Linked DNA regions of Canis lupus familiaris. The protein of the gene in region 4 purifies or fractionates together with the protein of the main gene of each other region. This does not show direct contact. Links are inferred from orthologs where the notes say so. Each region holds a gene or a part of one and is shown on either strand. Other genes may lie near its edges. The genes, in order: ZBTB10, KBTBD7, ZBTB18, FBXL17 and KLHL9.

What was found.
Region 1: the proteins of FBXL17 (region 4) and ZBTB10 purify together in Homo sapiens (affinity purification with western blotting; 3 studies listed by BioGRID and IntAct, with this or other methods). This does not show direct contact. The link is inferred for Canis lupus familiaris from reciprocal best matches to the Homo sapiens genes FBXL17 and ZBTB10.
Region 2: the proteins of FBXL17 (region 4) and KBTBD7 purify together in Homo sapiens (co-immunoprecipitation; 3 studies listed by BioGRID and IntAct, counting the BioPlex papers as one, with this or other methods). This does not show direct contact. The link is inferred for Canis lupus familiaris from reciprocal best matches to the Homo sapiens genes FBXL17 and KBTBD7.
Region 3: the proteins of FBXL17 (region 4) and ZBTB18 purify together in Homo sapiens (co-immunoprecipitation; 3 studies listed by BioGRID and IntAct, with this or other methods). This does not show direct contact. The link is inferred for Canis lupus familiaris from reciprocal best matches to the Homo sapiens genes FBXL17 and ZBTB18.
Region 5: the proteins of FBXL17 (region 4) and KLHL9 purify together in Homo sapiens (co-immunoprecipitation; 3 studies listed by BioGRID and IntAct, with this or other methods). This does not show direct contact. The link is inferred for Canis lupus familiaris from reciprocal best matches to the Homo sapiens genes FBXL17 and KLHL9.

What each region holds. Positions count from the first base shown.
Region 1 is NC_049250.1:28,339,745-28,343,255, reverse strand, and holds part of ZBTB10 (zinc finger and BTB domain-containing protein 10), read right to left. Parts: intron 3,126-3,511; coding exon 3,027-3,125; intron 353-3,026; coding exon 176-352; intron 1-175. UniProt on the Homo sapiens protein: May be involved in transcriptional regulation.
Region 2 is NC_049243.1:9,372,734-9,376,807, reverse strand, and holds the start of KBTBD7 (kelch repeat and BTB domain-containing protein 7), read right to left. Parts: upstream 2,811-4,074; 5' UTR 2,528-2,810; coding exon 488-2,527; 3' UTR 1-487. UniProt on the Homo sapiens protein: As part of the CUL3(KBTBD6/7) E3 ubiquitin ligase complex functions as a substrate adapter for the RAC1 guanine exchange factor (GEF) TIAM1, mediating its 'Lys-48' ubiquitination and proteasomal degradation.
Region 3 is NC_049228.1:35,066,788-35,071,077, forward strand, and holds the start of ZBTB18 (zinc finger and BTB domain-containing protein 18), read left to right. Parts: upstream 1-1,486; 5' UTR 1,487-1,503; intron 1,504-2,323; exon of another isoform or gene 2,324-2,703; intron 2,704-3,937; 5' UTR 3,938-4,008; coding exon 4,009-4,021; intron 4,022-4,290.
Region 4 is NC_049224.1:3,599,356-3,603,300, reverse strand, and holds the start of FBXL17 (F-box/LRR-repeat protein 17), read right to left. Parts: upstream 2,806-3,945; coding exon 1,906-2,805; intron 1-1,905. UniProt on the Homo sapiens protein: Substrate-recognition component of the SCF(FBXL17) E3 ubiquitin ligase complex, a key component of a quality control pathway required to ensure functional dimerization of BTB domain-containing proteins (dimerization quality control, DQC).
Region 5 is NC_049232.1:40,905,414-40,909,514, reverse strand, and holds the start of KLHL9 (kelch-like protein 9), read right to left. Parts: upstream 2,801-4,101; 5' UTR 2,439-2,800; coding exon 585-2,438; 3' UTR 1-584.

The DNA.
Region 1 (3,511 bases), on a different chromosome or scaffold from region 4:
CACAAAAGCAATTATATATTAAACAGAAAACTTGCTATCAAAAGTTTGTCTGTCCCTGAGAATAGGGATTGTAGGACTACTAGTATTTTAATTTTTTTAAGACCCAGAACATGGAAGCTTTTAATTGTGAAAAATCATTTTAAAATTCTGCAATGTTTAGTTGACTAATACTTGCCATTTTCCCAAGTTTCTTGTTTTGGCCAAGATTCGGGCAATAATCCATACTTGAAATCGTTTGAAGCACCTGGTATCAATCCATACTTGAAATCATTTGAAGTACCTGGTAGCAGTCCATACTTGAAATCACTTGAAGGGCCAGGCATCAAGCTATACTTGAAATCATGTGAAGTACCTAATAGAAAAGTGATTTTAATGTAATTATGGTAATAAAGATATTTCTTATTAGAATAAAACAATATAGGACATAAAATTTATTATATCTATGCAATATTATGATAGAACAGCTTACTATAAATAGCTGGATAAAAATCTCTACATTGTAATCTAAAACCGAAACGTCTTCATACTTTATTATCCTATCATAATACTCTAATTGCAGGCATCTTAAATAGAAAAACTAAAATTTAAAATGCTACCAGAGGAGAGAAAAATTTGGTAAGATAAATGTCAATATTTAATAGTGCATGGAGGCCACATGAAACTTTTTTTTTAAGATTTTATTTATTTTGAGAGAGGACAGCATAAGCAGAGGAAAAGGGAGAAGCAGGCTGCCCGCTGAGCAGAAAAGCCCGATGTGGATTTCTATCCCAGGATCCCGGGATCTCGCGACCTGAGCCAAAGGCAGACACTTAAACTGAGCCACTCAGGTGTCCCAAAACTTCTTTTTTTATACTGTATTTCAAATATATTCAAAACAGAACTCTCTCTTAATAGTTACTTTTAATTATTCTATCACTTGAGACTACCACCCTGAAGCCCAGCTTTGGAACAGGAGAGCTCTGCATTGCCCCCAAAACAATCACATAATCTTAAGACTAATCAGTATGGGGCGCCTGGGTGGCTCAGTCAGTTAAGCATCTGCCTTCAGTTCAGGTCATGATCTTGGGGTCCTGGGATTGAGCCCCACATCTGGCTCCCTGCGGCTCAGCTGCCTGCTTCTCCCTCTGCCCCGCCACTGCTTGTTAGCTTTCTTGCTCTTAAGTAATTGAGTTTTCAATAAAAATATTAAATCTTTACCCCTACTTCATTGTTCTCATTCTTTATAGCTGATACAAAAATTCTTATGGTAAAAATAATCTATTGTTGTACAACTCACAAAGACCACTCTTCAACCATATTTCTAAACCAAATATAAAATACTTATACCATTAGCAATTTTTTGTACAAGGATAAAGTCTTCAAAATTCAACCCCTCTGGTAACTGCTCATTTCAAAAATTTTTGTAAATTCTTTTCAACAGTTGGGAGAAACCACCTTAAGGCAATTTCTTTTCTTCAGAATTAGGGCTTAATTTTGGTCAGTGCATACATATTATATTCAGAAGCTTCTGAAAGCCTGAGTACTTCTAGCCACCCCCTGCCCATTAATTTAAGGAATTCCAATGCTATGAGAAGTTGAATCAATGAACATCCATATTCCTTTTGTGTGCCTTTGACTAATGTTAATTTTGACACATGTACTTTCTCTGTGAACACACACTTTTTATGTATTATTTACTCATCACTTTACCTCTCAATATAGCAGTTATTTTCTAGAACCTTCTCCTACATAACCATAGTACTTTATCATATCCACGAAATTTAAAATTGTCAAACTATTATTTAACCCATACTACACAAATTCCAAACTGTTCTTCAAATGTCCCCCTCTCCCTTTTTAAAGATTTTATGTATTCATGAGTGAGAGAGAGAGAAGGGGGGGACAGAGAGAGAAGCAGGCTCCTTGCAGGAAGCCTGATGGGGAACTCGATCCTGGGACTCCAGGATCACGGCCTAAGCCAAAAGACGCTCAACCGTGGAGCCACCTGGGTGTCCCTCAAATGCCCCTTTAGTCATTTTAGAACTCTGGTCAGTCATCAAGATTGACCATGCATTTTGGCAAGTAAACTATGTAGGTGATGTTTTGTGCTGGCTAGTGCATTACATGTAGAGGCATGGTATCTCTGCTGCTTTCATTATAAAGAAATCTTTTCCTCTTTGTTTAACTGAAGTTATCTGGGATGATAGGGAAACCATGTGAATATACTATTATAACAGCCTTTTGCATTGTGGGATAGCCGATCAACAGTGGCTTAATATCCATGGATGATTTTTTAAAAGATTTTTTATTTATTCATGAGAGAGACAGAGAGATAGGCAGAGAAGCAGGCTCCCTGCAGGAAGCCCAATGTGGGACTCGACCCCGGAACTCCGGGATCACTCCCTGAGCTGAAGGCAGATGCTCTGAGCCACGCAGGTGTCCCTCCATGGATGATCTTGAATTATTTCCTGTGGGGTATTTTTCATTTCTGTCATTATGTATTTATTAGCTTGGCATTTTTCTCTAAAGAAAGTTTTTCCCCTTCTTTATACTTACTTTGTTCTCTGGAATATTTATGGATTCTCTGCCTCTATGTGAAGGATACTTCTCCCGAAGTACAACTGACAGAAACATCACTACTATAGAATTAACGTTTTCTTTAGATTACCATATTGTTATTTTACATCAAAGCCAATTAAAATACGTTAATCAGCCAACTGGATAATTACCATTTTCATCCTATGTATATACTAGCAGGAAGCCACCAGCCCTATTAACTTAATTACTTTTGGTACTTAAGAATTTGAAATGCTCTAAACAAATGGCTCTCCCAAACAGTAAGAAACACCCATCCATTTGTATTTACCAGGTTTCCAAAGTCTTATCATAAACATAGCTACCATGGATCCAAAGTATTTTCATATAATACTCTCCCTTAAGGGAGAGAAACTGCAATAGGTCCTTAAACATGTACACAATCACTTCCCAATCTTCAAATCCTCTCAAACGTACTCTTACTGTACTTTTGTAAATCCTACTGTACATACCAGCATCACCTCCATCCTGACTGGAGCCGGCTTCTGCCAACAAATTTGTATTCACATTCCTATCACAATCTGGCCCTGAGAGTAGAGCACCATCCAGATCTGAAAAGGAGATGTACAATAATCTGTTACTTACAACCACACTATAACCATCATCAACCACTCCCTGCTTGGTAGTTTCTTATGCAACTAAATAGAAAATTATCTATCTGCAAGTTATAATACCTACTACGTGCTTAACGCGATTAAGGCACAAAATCAGACATGGTTTTCAGCCACAAGAACAAGCACACACTCGAGAGAATAGTGTACTGAATAGGAATAAGCTTTAAGAGGCAAGGTGAATTAGGTTACTGGCTATGTGAGCATGTGCCTCAATTTCCTCATATGCTTCCAAATAGTTCAGATTTGATTAAAAAAATCAAGTCAGATAATCCAAGTCAAGTGTTACAAATTACAGTGTTTGGCACCCAATGACAGCTGCTACT
Region 2 (4,074 bases), on a different chromosome or scaffold from region 4:
TCAAAATTTGGGAAATCTACTACTTTCATTATTCTAAAAGAAAATACAACCTTCAAAACCCTACCAACAATTTCTAGTTCAATTTTCTACTATAAAAATTAAAAAGTTAAATTCCTTGTGGCACTAAGTTGAATTAAAACGTTAACAGAAGACAAACGTAGATAATCAAAATATAAACAGTGTAAACTAACCAAAACAATCCACTGGTGCAACAAATACTCGAACAACCAAGAAACCACCAAGCATTCTAATCAGTTACATAGTTTGTTTTTGCATATTTTAATCTTGACTTTTAGCATAATAAATTATCATATAGGTTGATTTCATGGACTGTTTAACTTTGTAACATTACATTAGTAATTCAAATGTTACCCTTTCTAAACCAAATCTGCAGTCCTAATCAACATTTTTTTTTTCATGAAAAGGAAGGGATATCTTTTAAAGATACATTCCATAGAAGTAGAAACATCTTAGTGCTTCAAAATATTTACAAAGAACCCTGATGATCCTGTGCATTTCCCTGAGGTGCCACCTGCACCCAGACTTCATCATCGGAAAAAGAACTTGAACTTCCTGACTCCGAGTCCAGCTCACTGAATCCATCTAAGTCCCATTCAGTACTAGACTCACTCCGTGCATCATCTTCCTCAGTGATAAAACTCTGTCCAGGTTCAAGGCAGGAAGGATAAACACGAGCACAGAGGCAAATAAAGCCAGAGTCAAACTGCAAAAGACCTAACATGGTACCTATATTAATCCACTGGTCTTCCCTAGTATCGTATTCATAAACAGTCACCCGGTTTTTTTTCCACTGAGGGGTGGTAGAAGTAATGAGGAGCAACTTTTGGCCATGATTGACAATCTGGTAGTTGTGGGTCTCTGAGTCCAAGGGGATATTACTAATCCGCCTCCATTCTCCCCTGGCTGGGTTGTAGACCTTCATGACCGGGATGTCGCAGATACAGTAGATCTCATCATTGAAGACACAGGCTTCCTGAAAGTCACTACGTTTAAGAGAAGCACAGTTCAGCCATGTATTGTGGCCCGGGTCATAGTAGAGCATGCGCTTACTGTTCACAGCATAAAGATAGTTCTGAACCACTATTAGTTCAAACGAATAGAAGGAATGGGGTACAGGAGCCACCAGTGCCCACTGGTTTCTCTGGACACTGTAGCACTCCACTTCCTTCAGTTTAACACCGGTAATGGGGTCTCGCCCACCCAAAATGTAGATGTAGCCATTGAGGTAGGCCACATCCATGCCCTCCCGGCACAGCAGGCGGTCGGCCAGCTGCTGCCAACTATTCTGGGCTGGCTTGTACACCCAGAGGTCCTTCCTGGGCTGCGCGGCCAGGTAGATGTCATGGTCTGGAGAGACGCAGACAGCTGAGGAAGTGACAGTCTTGGTGTGAGCCAAGCTGGTTAAAGGGGATGGCATGGTGTAAATGTCCCCTGAGTATGGGTCGTAGCACAGAAAGGGATCTCGGGGATGTCCAAAGAAGATCACCATCTCCTTGGCACACATACCCAGCCTCTGGGGTGGGTTTTCTGCTGTGGGCACAACACAGCTGCTGCTGCTATCTGGTTTGGGCACCAGAGCCTTGCACAGCTTGTCACCATAGCGCATCTGCAGGGCCCCCTCGATAAGGTCCAGACAGTACTTTTTCACAATGGGCTTGGTCAGCAGCCCCTCCAGGTAATCCTGATCCTCTTCTCTGAAGTGTGTCCAGCGGACACACTTGAAGACTTCCGCAGCGCTGGGTCCGCGCTCCTTGGGAGCCGCCTCCAGCCACTGCACGGCCACGTGACACACGGTCCGCTCGCTCTCGATGTCTAGACTATCCAGGCGCAGGATGGACAGCAGCTGGGCCAAGCTCAGATCCGCCAGGCTCTCCTCCCTTACTGAGCCCATCCGGCTGAGCTGCCTGAAATTGTGGGCTATGAAGGACTGGGCCTGGGATCGCAGCTTATGATGGTCGAAGGCGTCGGCGAACTTGAGGATGGCGGTGCAGTTGGCCAGGTCGAGGCGGCGGGCCAGGAAGGAGGCGCAGGCCTCCCGCACGTACTCGAGCTGCAGCATGTCGGAGGCCGCGTACAGGCGCTGCACGTTGGCCTCGCTCAGCGACACGCGGCCCGTGTAGCAGTAGTCGACCAGCACCTCGAAGGACTCGGCGTCCACGTCGTGCATGGTCACGTTCGCCTGGTGGCTCTCGTACATGCCGCCCGTGAACATGCTCTTGAAGTAGGGACACGCGGCCGCCAGCACGTTCCGGTTGCAGGGGAAGAGGCGGCCGGTGCCGGGCCCGCTGCCGGGCGTCACCACCTCGATGGTCACGTCGCACAGCAGCCGCGCGTCGTAGAAGGACTTGAGCTGCGCCAGGAGGGCTGCGGAGTGAGCCGCGTCCTTCAGCTCCTCCGGGCCCGTGAAGAAAGCCGAGACCGAGGGCTTGGAGATCCTCTTGGGCCGCCTGCCGCCGCGGGGACTGGCCAGGCGGCGGGGGCGCGGAGCCTCTTCCCGGGACTGCATGGTGGAGATGGCGGCGGGGTACGAGGGCGAGAACGGGTGCACGGACCGGGCGCGGGCTCCTCCTCGCCCTCTCCTCGCCTTCTCCCTGAAGAGACTGCAGGGGCCGCACTTACCCAACTCAGCCCCGCGCCGCGGTGCCGCCTCCCTTTATCGCGTAGCCAGCGCCTGACTCACCCGCTTCCAGTTCCGCGCCCTTTTCTCCGCCTCAGCTCGCCTTACAGAACCCGGCTGGACGGAACCGAGAGAGCCGCCACTGCCGCGCTGGCAATACCGGTAGGCGTCCAGCGGAACTACGGCTCCCAGGCTGCCTTTCGCGCCCCGAGGCATGCCGGGGCCCCTCCAGACTCCAGGGGATCGGCGGGCGGGCCGGAGCCGCTGTGCACGCTGGGAGTGGTAGTTCGAGGAATATCGCGAGGTTTCTCCGGGCGGGCGGACTTTTAGCTGACAGAATTCGAAAAAGCGTTAATCTGGGTTTGTTGGTTTTAGAGCTTTGGCTTTGATGTTCTTTTTTATTTAAAAAAAAAAAAAATCTCCGTTTTGGTATTGGTCTTCTCTCTGAGAACTTTCCCCTCTTTGTAAAGCGGGGGATACGAGTTTTCATAGGATTATGTGAGAGTGGGAGCGAGGTGGATTTGCGCAGGTCCCAGGATGCTTCAGCGAATACCTGCTGATTAATCACATGCTTGCAAGTGCCTGGAATATACAGATTCAGCCACTGGTGGCGTCTCCCAATGCGTTTTTAAAAATGTGCCCGCGTGCGAAGCCGTGAGCGATTTGTGTGAGGAATCTTAATTTTACTGTTGCTTCTTTTGAAGGGTTCTTCTGAAGGCTACCACCATCTTTTCAGAACTAAATGAGATCCACAGGTTCGTTAGGGTGTCGTGGACAAGGATGAGGTCCTGGCGAACAGCGTTGAGAGGTGGCCTCCGACGTGCGGCTCAGGCCTCCGACGTGCGGCTCAGGCCTCTGACATACAGCTCAGGCCTCTAACAGGCAGCTCAGGCACATGCATAGCTGGGCTGACCTCTCACCAAATCAATATTTACGCAGGGGGAGCAGGATTACTTTCATAAGCTTTTTTTTCTTTTTTTTTAAATTAAGATTTTTATTTACTTATTAGAGAGAGAATGCACAAGCAGGGGAGTGACAGGCAGAGGGGGAGGGAGATTACAGGCTCCCTGCTGATAGGGCCGGATCCCAGGACCCCGGGCAGGCGCCTAACCGGCTGAGCCACCCAGAAGCCCTTTCGTAACCTTTTAGCAGGAATGTTTTGGTCTAATACTGCTCGTTTCCCTTCCTCTCCACAAATCAGCCTAAGATTATGTAGTTATCTTTATCAAGGAGATAAAAACGGGAGTTGTAGATTAAAAGATTTAAACAAACAGACCTCAGAGCTCTGTATTCATGCATGCCCCAGTTTTTTTTTTTTTGTTTTTGTTTTTTTTTTTAAGATTTTATTTATTCATGAGACACACACACACAGAGAGAAGCAGGCTCCATGCAGGAAGCCCAATGTAGGACTCAATCCTGGGTCTCCAGGATCAGGC
Region 3 (4,290 bases), on a different chromosome or scaffold from region 4:
GTCTCTACATTTCTCCGTTGCCGTGATGGACCCACTTTCATAGCCAAGAGGCAGGATCAGATAAAAGTTCCTCTGGAGGGAGGGGACAGCGGCACCGCAGTCTGTCTCACATCTTCCCTCGGTGGCTGAACGCTGTGGCTTGATACGTACCAATTAAGGAATCCGGCTACGGCTTCCACAACTACCAATTTTACCGGAGTTCTCTAGAATTTGGTCGCTTGGGAGTGTGTGCTGGTGAGAGGGCGAGTGCCCCGGGGCCGCGGGGGCCGCAGGCGTGTCTCCCGGAGCCAGACCTCGTCCGGGGAGCGACGCCCCGACTGGCCTCCCGGAGCCCGCGGCCGCGGCGCCCCGACCTGCACCGGGGGGCGGGGGGGCGGGGGGGCGGGACGGAGCGCGGGCGCCGCTCGGTTCCGCTCCCCGCGCTCGGGCGGGCCACGACTGCGCCGCGTCCCCCGCGTCCCCGCGCGCCCTGCCTCCCGAGGATACCTGCGCAACTCGGCGCACGCCGGCCCCAGCGCTTTTAAAAGTGTGTTTCTGGTGGTCACGGTGCGCCCCGAGAAGGTCGCGCCGCACCCCCCCGGGGCGCGCGAGGCCCCGGAGCCCGGAGACAGGCCCCTCCCAGCGCAGCTGTCGCTGCCGCCTGCGGGCTCCTTTCACTTTCTCACGGCCAAGTCACCCAGAGGGGCGCCGCTGCCGCCGCCGCCGCTGCGCCCGAGGACTCCGCCCCGCGCCGCCTCGCTACCGGCCCCCCGCCCGCCCGGGCCCCGCCCACCGCAACAGCTCCTGCCCGCGATTGGCTCGCGCGAGCGGCAGCTCCGGCCCGCCTCGCCCATTGGCTGCGCCCTCCTGTCAGTCCGACGGTCGCCCGCCACTCCCCCCGCCCTCCCGCGAGGCCGCCCTCCCATTGGAGGAGGCCGCGCGCTGGGGGCGGGCGGGGAGCGCCGGCCCAGCCGCTTACGGTCAATCGCAGGGGCCCAACGCCGGGAGGGAGGGAGGCAGGGGGAGGAGAGGGGCGGGCCGAGGCCGGGCGGGGGGGAACATCTGGCCGGCGCCGCCGCGTGCGTGCGTGGTGCGTCCTCCCGCCCCCTCCCCTCCCCCTCCCCCGCCCGCCCCCCCTCCCCGCCCCCCCTCCCGGCCGGCGGCTCCGCACTCGCTCCCTCGCTCGCTCCCTCGCTGTGTCTGGCAGGCTGCGGCCGCCGCTGGGCTGCTGCCATGGGGAGCCGTTGAGAGTGGGGCCCTCTTCGCTCCGCCGCGCTCCTCCGGCTGCCAGCGGGGGTGGGTGGGAGGGAGGGAGGGGGCAGGGGGAGCGGGCGACGGAGCCGGGATTGGGGGGCGGGGGGGCCGGGAGGGAGGGGGGCCAGAGGAGGAGGAAGCCCACCAAGTCCGGCGGCGGCGGCGGCGGCGGCGGCCGGGAGGAAGAGGAGGAGGAGGCGGAGGACGCGGCGGCGGCGGCGGCGGCGGCGGCGGCGGCGGCGGGGACGCGGTGACTTAGGGCCGCTCCGTGTGAGTGCCGGCGCCCGCCCCGGCCCCTGACCCGGCGCCCCCTCCGCGCCCGGCCCCCCTGGCGGGCGGGGGGCGCCAGCTGTGCGGCCCGGGCCGGGCCGGGGCGGGCGGAGGGCGGGCCGGGCCGGGCCGGGGGCGCCCCCGCGAGTGGAGTTTAGTTTGTGTGCTCGGAGCGGTTGGGGCGGCGGGGGGCGGCGCAGCTGCGGGAGGCCGGGCGCGGGGACGGGGCCGCCGCAGCTGCGGGGTCGGGCGGGGTGCGGGCTCGCCGGCTCCGCGCCGCGCCCCCCGCCCCCCTCCCCGCGGCCGGTGCAGCTGCGGCGCGGGGCGGGCTCCCGGCCCGTGCAGCTGCGGCGGCGCCTCCCGGGTGCGGAGGGCGGCGGGCTGGGGGAGGGGGGCTTGGGAGCCGCCGCAGCTGCAGCGGCGCCCGGGACGGCCGCGGCTCCGGGGACCGGTGCAGCTGCAGTGGCGCCCGGGGGGGAGGGGGCCGGCGGGGGAGGGGCCCCTCCCGGGCTGGTGCAGTTGCCGGGAGGCCCCGGGGGCTCGCGCGCCGCGGCGTCGGGGAAGCGGTAGCAGCCACCCTCCTCCCGCGGGCTGCTTCTTACGACTTTTCTTTTGTTGTTGCCGTGACCCGGGTCTGTTTTCTCGTCTGCTGTGGAAGGTGTTTTCCTGCTGCACCGGCTCTCCGCCCTCCACCTCCTTCCCTGTGGTTTAACCTTCCTCTTTCCCCGTGTGTTTTATGCACGGCGAACTACGTGGAGATTTGCATTTCTTACCCACCCCACCCCCGGCCCCACTCCGCACCCTCGCCCCCACCCCTCGGGAGAAACAGAAGCCCAGCCTCACAGTCCGTCCCTGGACCCCGCGGTAGCAGGACTGCGAAGGGGTTGATTTGTGGGGTGGGAGTCGCTGGCCCATTGCGGTGCTTGGGACTCATTAAACTGTCACTCACCCCCCACCCCACCGGGTAAATGGGGTGATTAATGTCTGATACGTTGGAATGGGGCGAGGGCATTTGTGGAGAATAGGTTGTGTGGCTGGGAAGGAATGTGGCTCCCGAAGAGTGCCTCCCGCAATAGGCGTTCGTCATCCTGTCATTCACCGCGAAGTTAGAGAAAGTTCGGTCTGTGACTTTGGCAGAGCGAGGGAGACTGGACGGAGACGCCGGTGTTTGTTACTGGTTAACTGTGCCGCGGTGTTCGGGTGAGGACCGGGCGGTGACCAGCAGGGCTGCGACGCTCGCGCCTCGGGCCTGCGCTGCGCCTCGCCCTCCCGAGCCCGTGGGGATGGCTTTGACATTCACAGATGTCGCAGCACCTTGCAGGGCACGGGGCAGCCCAGCCCGGGTTACGTTATGATTTCATCAGCCATTAGAAAAAGACCCACAAAGTCGAGCTGAAAAGTTCCCAAACTTACTAGACTTGCCCCCCCCCCTTCTTACTGAAAGCTGAAAGGTTTTCTTGTGATCACGAAACATCACAGAGTGACCCAAAAAAAGATTGTTATGGGACACAGATCAAGGGGAAGACAAAGTTCTGCTTTTTTTTTTTTTTTAATTTTTTTTTTCTCCCCTGAGCGGAGAGTCAGATCAGATATGCAGGTGCAGTGTTCATTTTAAGCGGCCGTAGCAGGTTGTATCAGTTTATTAATTTGTCTCATTGAACTGAAGTACTTTCCAGGATTTCAGAAAGTGCAGTTTCACCTTGTTGATAGTGAGAGTTGAAATTTGCATGTAGTGGCAATGTAGAAATTTTATTGAGTAGGTTGTAGGACACAAATAGTTAAAATTAAGAGGGAAATAATAAGGTGAACCCGGCTGTAGTAATAGTTCTGTATAGTCTCCCAGCATTGAGACATGTATGCCATTATCTTGGCAGGAAAAAAAAAAAAAATGAAAGTACCGTAATAATGTTGAAATGGGACTGGAGATGTCAATTGGGTTGGTTTAAAAATATCCCTAAGCTGCCTTTGAAACTAAACGTTGGAGTTGAATAAAAGTGAATCTGGATTTCCTGAATAGCACCGTGGCTTGAGTGTGCTGTCAGTATGTGAGCCAGTCCACCAACTTAAGACAGAAGTGTTGCTATTCCATAAATACAGTAGAACTCCATATGCTGAGTTTTTCAATTTCTTTCTGTTAGAAAGTTTGGAAAAAAAGGGAGACTTTGAAGTATTTTGTTTATACTAACAGAAGAGAAAAGTTCTCCTAAGAAAAAGCTGGTGGCAGGAGTGTAGAGGAGTAGCATATGGCATTAAAAGGAGCACAGCTGGAGGTAGCATTTCCATCTGAACATGATGTCAGAGCAGCTGACAGCCTGCCATCCCTCAGCCTTTTATTCTAACACACAGACAGGGAGTTAGTGTGTGCGGATCTGTGGTGGAGAAGGTATCTTATTCCTCTCTAACATCATCTCCACTTTGCATCTGTCTCTCTTAGTCCGCTTTTTTTCCACCGATGTAACAGACCTGGAGCCAGCGAGACCCAGAGGAAAGGACTTAATCAGGTTTATGTGTCCTAAAGGTAGGAGTAGCAAGAGATTAGATTGAGCATATTTCTGTTTTGGTGTTTTGTTGATTTAATTAAAAAAATCACATTACTTTTCTAACCCAGTTTAGGAATAATATATGAAACCGAGTATTAAATGAACATCTTATTGGAGTTGAAAGTCTTGGGCTTGTGTAGTTTTAATTTTTATCCCTTTTGCTCGAGCAAGTAAATAACTTTAATACACAGAAATATTTCAAGTTTTGAAATGTTAAGAAAGGCTTTGAGATGTTGCTTTTTGAGAT
Region 4 (3,945 bases):
GTATAAATGCATATTTATATATTAAATATATATATTCATGTTAAAATGTATATATATTTATATATACATATGTATATATTTATTTACAGAAATGTGTATACTAATATATAAAAATATATTTATATCAAATGTATATATTCATATACATTTACATACAAAAATGTATAGATTTTATATAAAAATATATTTATGTATAAAATGTATGTTTAGGGATCCCTGGGTGGCGCAGCGGTTTGGCGCCTGCCTTTGGCCCAGGGCGCGATCCTGGAGACCCGGGATCGAATCCCACGTCGGGCTCCCGGTGCATGGAGCCTGCTTCTCCCTCTGCCTGTGTCTCTGCCTCTCTCTCTCTCTGTGACGGTCATAAATAAATAAAAAATTTAAAAAAAAAAAAAAATTTTAAAAAAAAAATAATAAAAAAAATAAATAAAATGTATGTTTATTTTTTTTTAAGGTTTTATTTATTCATGAGAAACACGGAGACAGAGGCAGAGACACAGGCAGAGGCAGAAGCAGGCTCCACGCAGGGAGCCGGATGTGGGACTCGATCCCGGGACCCCAGGATCACGCCCTGGGCCGAAGGCAGGCGTCAAACCACTGAGCCACCCAGGGATTCCCTAAAACGTATGTTTATAAATATATTTACATATAAATGTGTATATATATATGTGAATGTGTGTATTTATATATAAAAGTGTTTTTATGTATCTATAAATAAAACATGTTAATAAGTCACATGTTTATAAATAAGACATATTTATATATGAAATATACTTCTATGCAAAACATATTCATGTCTAAAACATACATGTGTACGTAACACACCCGCTCGTACATGCAGTGGACAGGAGTGGCCGCCGGGCCGAGCCGGGAGCCGGGAGCCGGGAGCCGCCGGGCTGCGGGGCGGGACCGAGGGAGGCCGCAGCCCGAGCTGCTGAGCGCGAGCGGCTCCCGAGGTCTCGGGCTTCCCACGACAGGCCCGAGCGTCCTCCCGAGCGTCCTCCCCAGCGGCCTGTCCCCCTCGGACTCCGGCTGCCGGGGTGGGGGGGTGGGGGGCACTGCGCTCAGGGGGCGGAGACCAGCGAGGGGGCGAGGGGGTGGGGTCACGGGGGTCGCGGGGATGGGGGGGTCACGGGGGTCTCGGGGATGGGGGGGGTCACGGGGGTCTCGGGGATGGGGGGTCACGGGGGTCTCGGGGATGGGGGGTCACGGGGGTCTCGGGGATGGGGGCTCACGGGGGCCGGAGGGTCACGGGGGTCTCGGGGATGGGGGGTCACGGGGGTCGGAGGGTCACGGGGGTCGCGGGGATGGGGGGTCACGGGGGTCTCGGGGATGGGGGGGTCACGGGGGTCTCGGGGATGGGGGGGTCACGGGGGTCTCGGGGATGGGGGCTCACGGGGGCCGGAGGGTCACGGGGATGGGGGGTCACGGGGGTCTCGGGGATGGGGGGGGTCACGGGGGTCGGAGGGTCACGGGGGTCTCGGGGATGGGGGGGTCACGGGGGTCAGGTAGTCACGGGGGTCTCGGGGATGGGGGGTCACGGGGGCCGGAGGGTCACGGGGGTCTCGGGGATGGGGGGGTCACGGGGGCCGGAGGGTCACGGGGGTCTCGGGGATGGGGGGTCACGGGGGCCGGAGGGTCACGGGGGTCTCGGGGATGGGGCGTCACGGGGGTCGGAGGGTCACGGGGGTCTCGGGGATGTGGGGGTCACGGGGGTCAGGGAGTCACGGGGGTCTCGGGAATAGAGGGGTCACGGGGGTCTCGGGGATGGGGGGGTCACGGAGGCCGGAGGGTCACGGGGGCCGGAGGGGCACGGGGATCTCGGGGATGGGGTCACGGGGGGCCGCGGGGTCACGGGGGCCAGGGCCGGGGCCGGGGCAGCCGTCGCCCGCGGCGCAGACCCACCTTGAGCAGGATGGACGGCGGCAGCTGGTTGATGTCCGGGGTTTCGGGGGGCGGATCCCTGTGACAGTCGCAGGGGTTCTCGGGGGGCTCCCGGCGGTCGGCGTCGCCGCAGTCGTGCTGCTGCTGCTGCTGCTGCTGCTGCTGGGCGGCCGAGGGGGCGGCGCCCCCCGCTCGCCCCGCGTCCCCGCCGGCCGCCGCGGGGGCCCCGGGGGGCGCGGGGGGCGCGGGGGCCTCGGGGGGCGCGGGGGCCGCGGGGCAGCAGGCGGCGTCGGGGGGCCGCGGCGGCGAGGCGCCCCCCCCCGCGGGCCCTCCGTGCGCCCCTGCGTGCGCCCCTCCGTGCCCGCCGCGCCCGCCGTGCCCGCCGCCGTGGCCGCCGCCGTGGCCCCCGCAGCGGGGCTGCTTGCAGGGCGTGCAGGCCGGGAGCCCGGCGCCCTTGCGCTTGCACACCATGTCGGCGGCCGGCGGCGGCCCGCGCAGGAGCCGCAGGGCGGCGGGCGGCCCGAGGAGGCGCACGGGCCCCACGCCCGCCAGGAGGAGGCCCGGGCCGCGGCGCTCCCAGGCGGCGGCGGCGGCCAGCCCCAGCTCGCGGCAGCGGGAGGCGGGCGACGCGGCGGCGGGGGCCAGCAGGAAGCGGCGGGCGGCGGCGGCGCAGTCCTCGGCGGAGGCCCGGGCCCGCGGCGGCGGCGGCGGCGGCGGCGGCGGCGGCTCCTCCTCCGGGCCGGCGGGGGCGGGCGCGCCGGGGCTGTGCACGATGAAGCAGAGCATGCAGGGCCCGCGGAAGAAGCAGTCCCGGCTGCGGGGCGGGCGCGGGCGCGGGCGGCGGCGGCGGCACCAGCTGCAGCAGCGCGGCCTCCTGCGGCTCGGGCGGCTTCGCGGCTCCCGGGACAGGAGGTGGCCCATATAGGAGGCCGCGCGGGGCGGCGGGCGGCGGGCGGCGGGGACGGGGACGGGGACGGGGACGGGGGCGGCCGGCGGGACGGGGCGGCGGGGCTCCGCGCACTCGCGCTCGGGCGCACACGCGACGGGGGGGGGCGGGGGGCCGGGGGGCTACATGCTGTGCCCCGGGGCCGGGGGGGCCGGGGGCCGGGGGCCGGGGGCGCGGCGGGGGGCCTGCGGCCGGGGACCGCTCCACGCCCGGCCCGGCGGCTCAGTCCGGCAGCGCGGCGGCGGCGGCGGCGGCGGCGGCGGCGGCGGGGGGGACGCGGGGTCCCGCTCGGACCATTTTAACTGCGGCTCCGCCGGCGGCGCGCGCGCCCGCGACACAGCTCGGAGCCGCAGGGGCGCGCGGCCCGCTCGGGGAGGGGGCGGGGCCGCTCGGGGAGGGGGCGGGGCCGCGGCGGGCGCGCGCGCGGAGGGGGCGGGGCCGCGGGAGGGGCGGGGCCGCGGGGGCCGCCGGGCGGGACCTGCCGGGAAGGAGCCGGGCGCGCGCCTGCCCCGCCGCCGGGACGGGAGGAGCGGCTTCCGAGCCGGCGCGGTGACATCCGTTCGCGCGGCCGCGCTGACGTCGGGAGGTGTGAGGTCAGGAGCCGCCATTGGCCGGGAGCCGCCGCGCTCCCCGCCCCCACCCACCCCCCCCCCCCCGCGCCGGGAGAGCGAGGTCCCCGAGGAGCCGGAAGCGGAGGGCGCGGGAGGCCGCCTCTGCCCTGGCTGCCAGGGGTGCCGGGGGGCGCCGAGGTGCGGGGGCCCTGGGTGCTGAGACCCCGAGGTGCGGAGACCCCTGGGTGCTGCGACCTTGGGTGCTGAGGCCCCCGGATGCTGAGACCCTGGGTGCTGAGGCCCCTGGATGCTGCAGCCCTGGGTGCTGAGGCCCCTGGATGCTGAGGCCCCTGGGTGCTGCAGCTCTGGGTGCCGGGGCCATGCTCTCAGGGAGGGGCTGATGGGTGGGGCCGCCCCTTCTCTGTTCCGCTTGGTCGTACCCTTGCTGTGGTGTCTGCTGACTCCTATTTCAGTGAAAGCACCTGTCGTGTTTCCAGGCCAAGCCCTAAGGCACGTTGTCAACTGGTTGAGTCCTCAGCCTTGCAGGCTGGGGGCTCCACTGGC
Region 5 (4,101 bases), on a different chromosome or scaffold from region 4:
ATGTGTTTATGTGCATACATACCTATATTTCCTCTCTCCCTTTCCCTCTCTCCAGAGATACAAAATCCTGACTTAGGGTTTTGTACGCTGTTTATTTCTCCTATCTAGGAAACTTCACATATTCTGAATGCACTCGATCTGGTGAATTGTCAACGATGTCAAAAACTATTATGAAAAAAGGGAAGGTAGGTGATATTTGGCGACCTTTTACTATTTTAGGTCAGAGCAAGCAGCCTCCCTTCGATGTTCTGAAGTGAAAGATGAAAACTTGCAGCTTTGAAGCATAAACGAACATAATTACACATTTACTACAATCACCTACAATTTGACTTACACAACACCACAAAGACATCTAAAACATTTTTCTACATATCTTTTTTACATTTGTTAAAACAGCTGGCTATGTTAAATACATTTTCAGAATGCATTTGTTAACCATACGGATAAACACACTGAGCCAAGCAATACAAATAACATCAGTTACCATTTAACCTAATAACTGCACCAATCACTTTAAGAAGATACAATTTAAGGGGAAGTGTGAGATCATCCATGATGCACTGCAAAGGTACTACATTTTAGTCCTAAGAATGGTCTGAAGGTGCTGAAAGAGGGGATTCTCTAGAAGGTGACCCAGGGTTTTCCTCGGGTGGAAAAACTGTGAGAGTACAAGCTCGAATCCCACCAAGTGACTCTGGAAGGTCAAAAACTTTATGCCATTCATCCTTTTCTGGGTCATATTTCTGGACAATTTCTACCATACAACGATTATTCCAGGAATATCCACCCACAACATAGATTTTATTTTCAAAGACAGCAACTCCAACATCACTCTGACCTCTTAACATAGCAGCAATTGGTGTCCACTGGTCAAGGGTTGGTGAATAGTATTCACAGCTTAGAACATCATCATAATCACTTGTTCCTCTGAAGTGATTGCCACCAATGACATAGAGCTTGTCTCCAACTGTACACATGCAGTGCAGACCTCGGACTGTAGTCATTGGAGCCTTCTGTGTCCATTTGTCTGTATCTGGGTCAAAACACATGAGCTCGTTTTGGAAAGTGTCATGAGTAATTCCTCCTGAAATATACATCAAGCCTCCGTACACTGTTCCAGCATGGCCATAGTGGGGCTCGCTCATTTTTGCAACATAGCTCCACTCATTCATCCTTGGGTTGTAACATTCTACTGTGGCCAGTTCACCAGCCGCACTTCGCCCACCAACAGCATATAAATGTCCTTTAAGGGCACTCAAGTGGAAAAACGTGCGCTTTTCATTTAACGATGCAACCTGCATCCATTTGTTGTACCGAGGATCAAACCTGAAAACTGTATCAACAGCAGTTTTCCCTTTCGTATCATAATTACTTTGACCACCAACTACATAAAGAAAGTTTCCAATGACAGCAATACCATGCTGGTAACGAGGAGCATCCATGGGGGCAAGAGATCTCCACTCTTGTGCCCTTTCGTCATACATCCGTAATTCTTTGCTGACAACCAGCTGCTGCCTCAAAACTCCTCCTAATGTGACCAAGTGTGTCGAGTCAGATCGAATGGCAGTTCTATCTGACTGCATCACTGGCTGCATATATGGCATCATTTGGTAATTGCTAGCTTCCAAAAGCAAATTCACACAAGTATTGTCTGTTCTCATGAAATCTACTGTCTGCACGTAATTGATGAGATCCTGGGGTGTCATCAATGGAAATCGAATGTTCTTCATTAATTTTGCAGCATAATCCATCCGAGGGTCTTCCAATCTTAGCCAGCGACAGGCGGCCTTGAAGAGCTCAAGTTCAGTGCAGTGCTTAAGGCTGTTACTAGAAAGCACAAAGGCAAGCCGTTCAAAGGGGAGTTTTAGAAACTCCCCGGTACTCAGCAATGCAGGAAAATTCTTCAGGATGAAATTATTGACGTACTTATCCACTTCGATCAGATTGTAGGTGTTAGCAATCCGCCCAACTTCAACACAGTTGTCTAAAGAGACTCCCGAAATAAGGAACACCTTACAGAAGTCCAAGACGGGCAAAATCTGTAAGAAGCTGGCAGCTTCAAGGGTGTCCTGAAGATTGTCCATATTGAGAGAAAGTTTTGCAGTATAAATGAAATCAATTATTTTCTTCAGCCCAACCTTGTTCACCCCATGCAGCTTAATGCACATCAGATCCTGTTCTTTCATTCCGCCTGTGAACATTGCCTTGAAGTAATCACTAGCGGACGCCATCATAGCTCTGTGAACGGGGAAGATTTCATCTCCGTCGCCCGGGACCAGGGTCACATCACAAAGCAAGCCTTCTACTCTGAGCTGGTCGAAGCCTTGCAGCACCACCGAACTGTGAGTGTTGCTGGTAAAAAAACGCGTGGTTCCTGCCTTGCAGGGCTGTAGGTGGGCGGAGACGCCCATTTCGCCGGTGCCGAGGGACACTTTCATGGGAAAGCCTTCCTCCCGCGGAGACCCGGGCCCCCCGGGGAACGAGGCTGTGGCCTGAAAGCTCTCAAGGAGACGAGCCGCGCACGCCCCGAGCAGGAGGGCTCGCTTTCCTTGATCAAGGGCGAGCGGTCACCGCGGCACCCCGCCAACACACCCGCCGGTCATCCGCTCAAAACTGGTGGCGGGCAGGGCCACGGAGGGCTGCGGACCTCAAATCTGATTGCTCTGCGGACGATTCATCACCTGAAGGCAGTGAAGCGACCCGGTTCGCCCGGTCCGGCCTGCGCCGCCGCTCCTCCAGCAGTTCCGCTCCCGGCCAAGGGGGAGGCGCCGCCACGTACTGCGGCCGGCGACGCGGCGAGGCCGGCCCACCTCAGCGCGCGGCCCGCTGCGCCCTCCGCGCTCGCTGGAGCGTCGCCGCGGACGCCGGCGGCGGTGCAGGGACGACGGCCTGGACCGCGGGCCTGGCTCGGGCCTGGGCCTGGAACGCGGGCTCTGCCCCGGACGCCGAGCCGGTCCTTCCGGAAAGGCTTGGTCCCAGGATCCCCCGGGCTAGGAGCGGCCGCGGCGGCTACTGCGCCTGCGCGCCGCCGGGCCCCGTCAGCGGGCGGGCGCGTGGGGGCGGGGAGCAGCGGTGCGGGAGGCGCCGAGGGCGGGGGCCGGGGCGGGGGGCCGGGCGGGGTCGCGCGGAGGAGCGGGCGCGGCCTGGGGCTCCAGGGGCGCCCGCGTGGTGCTGCGCGTGTGCTGCGAGCTTCTCACGGCGCCTGAGCTCTCCTCCTAAGTTCATACTTTTTTTTTTTTTTAAAGATTTACACTTCCTGGCTTCTGCCTTTTGAATAACGATGACGTGCGGCTTTTGTATAGATGGGAAGGCAACGGGGAAGAGGCGGCGGCCCTGGGGGCAAGATGCTTAAAACTGTTCCTCGATAAAGCACTTGGGCTATGATTTTTATCCTACACCTCAGTTACCATTTTGGTTCACATATTCAAATTACTAGTCGTTTAATACACGGATCATGGGTCTCTAAATACCAAATTGTGACCACGGCACATGAATAGTATAGCCTGGGTTTTGGCTGTGCAGTGCAATTCCGTTGTAATTGTTCTCCACTCACATTTTTATTTTTATTTCATTTTATTTTATTTATATTTTTATTTATTTATTTTTTGTTGGTGTTCAATTTGCCAACATATAGAACACCCAGTGCTCATCCCATCAGGTGCCCCCCTCAGTGCCCATCACCCAGTCACCCCCACCTGCCACCCACCTCCCCTTCTATCCACTCACATTTTTTTTTAAAGATTTTATTTATTTATTCATGAGAGACACAGGCCGAGAGAGAGAGACAGACAGACACAGACAGAGAAGCAGGCTCCACGCAGGGAGCCCGATGTGGGACTCGATCCCGGCTCTCCAGGATCACGCCTTGGACGGAAGGCAGACGCTCAACCACGGAGCCACCCAGGCATCCCTATCCACTCACATTTTTAGATGGCTACAGGACTTTCCGATGATTCCACATACTATAGTTTCTTTTGCCCATTATTAGTTCCTGAATAAAAACTTTGTACGTCATTGTTTTATAGACTCCAATAAACTAAAATCTCAGCACAGAAGTTTCCCCTGTTTTTAGATAAATCCTAAGGACAGGATTCAAGACGT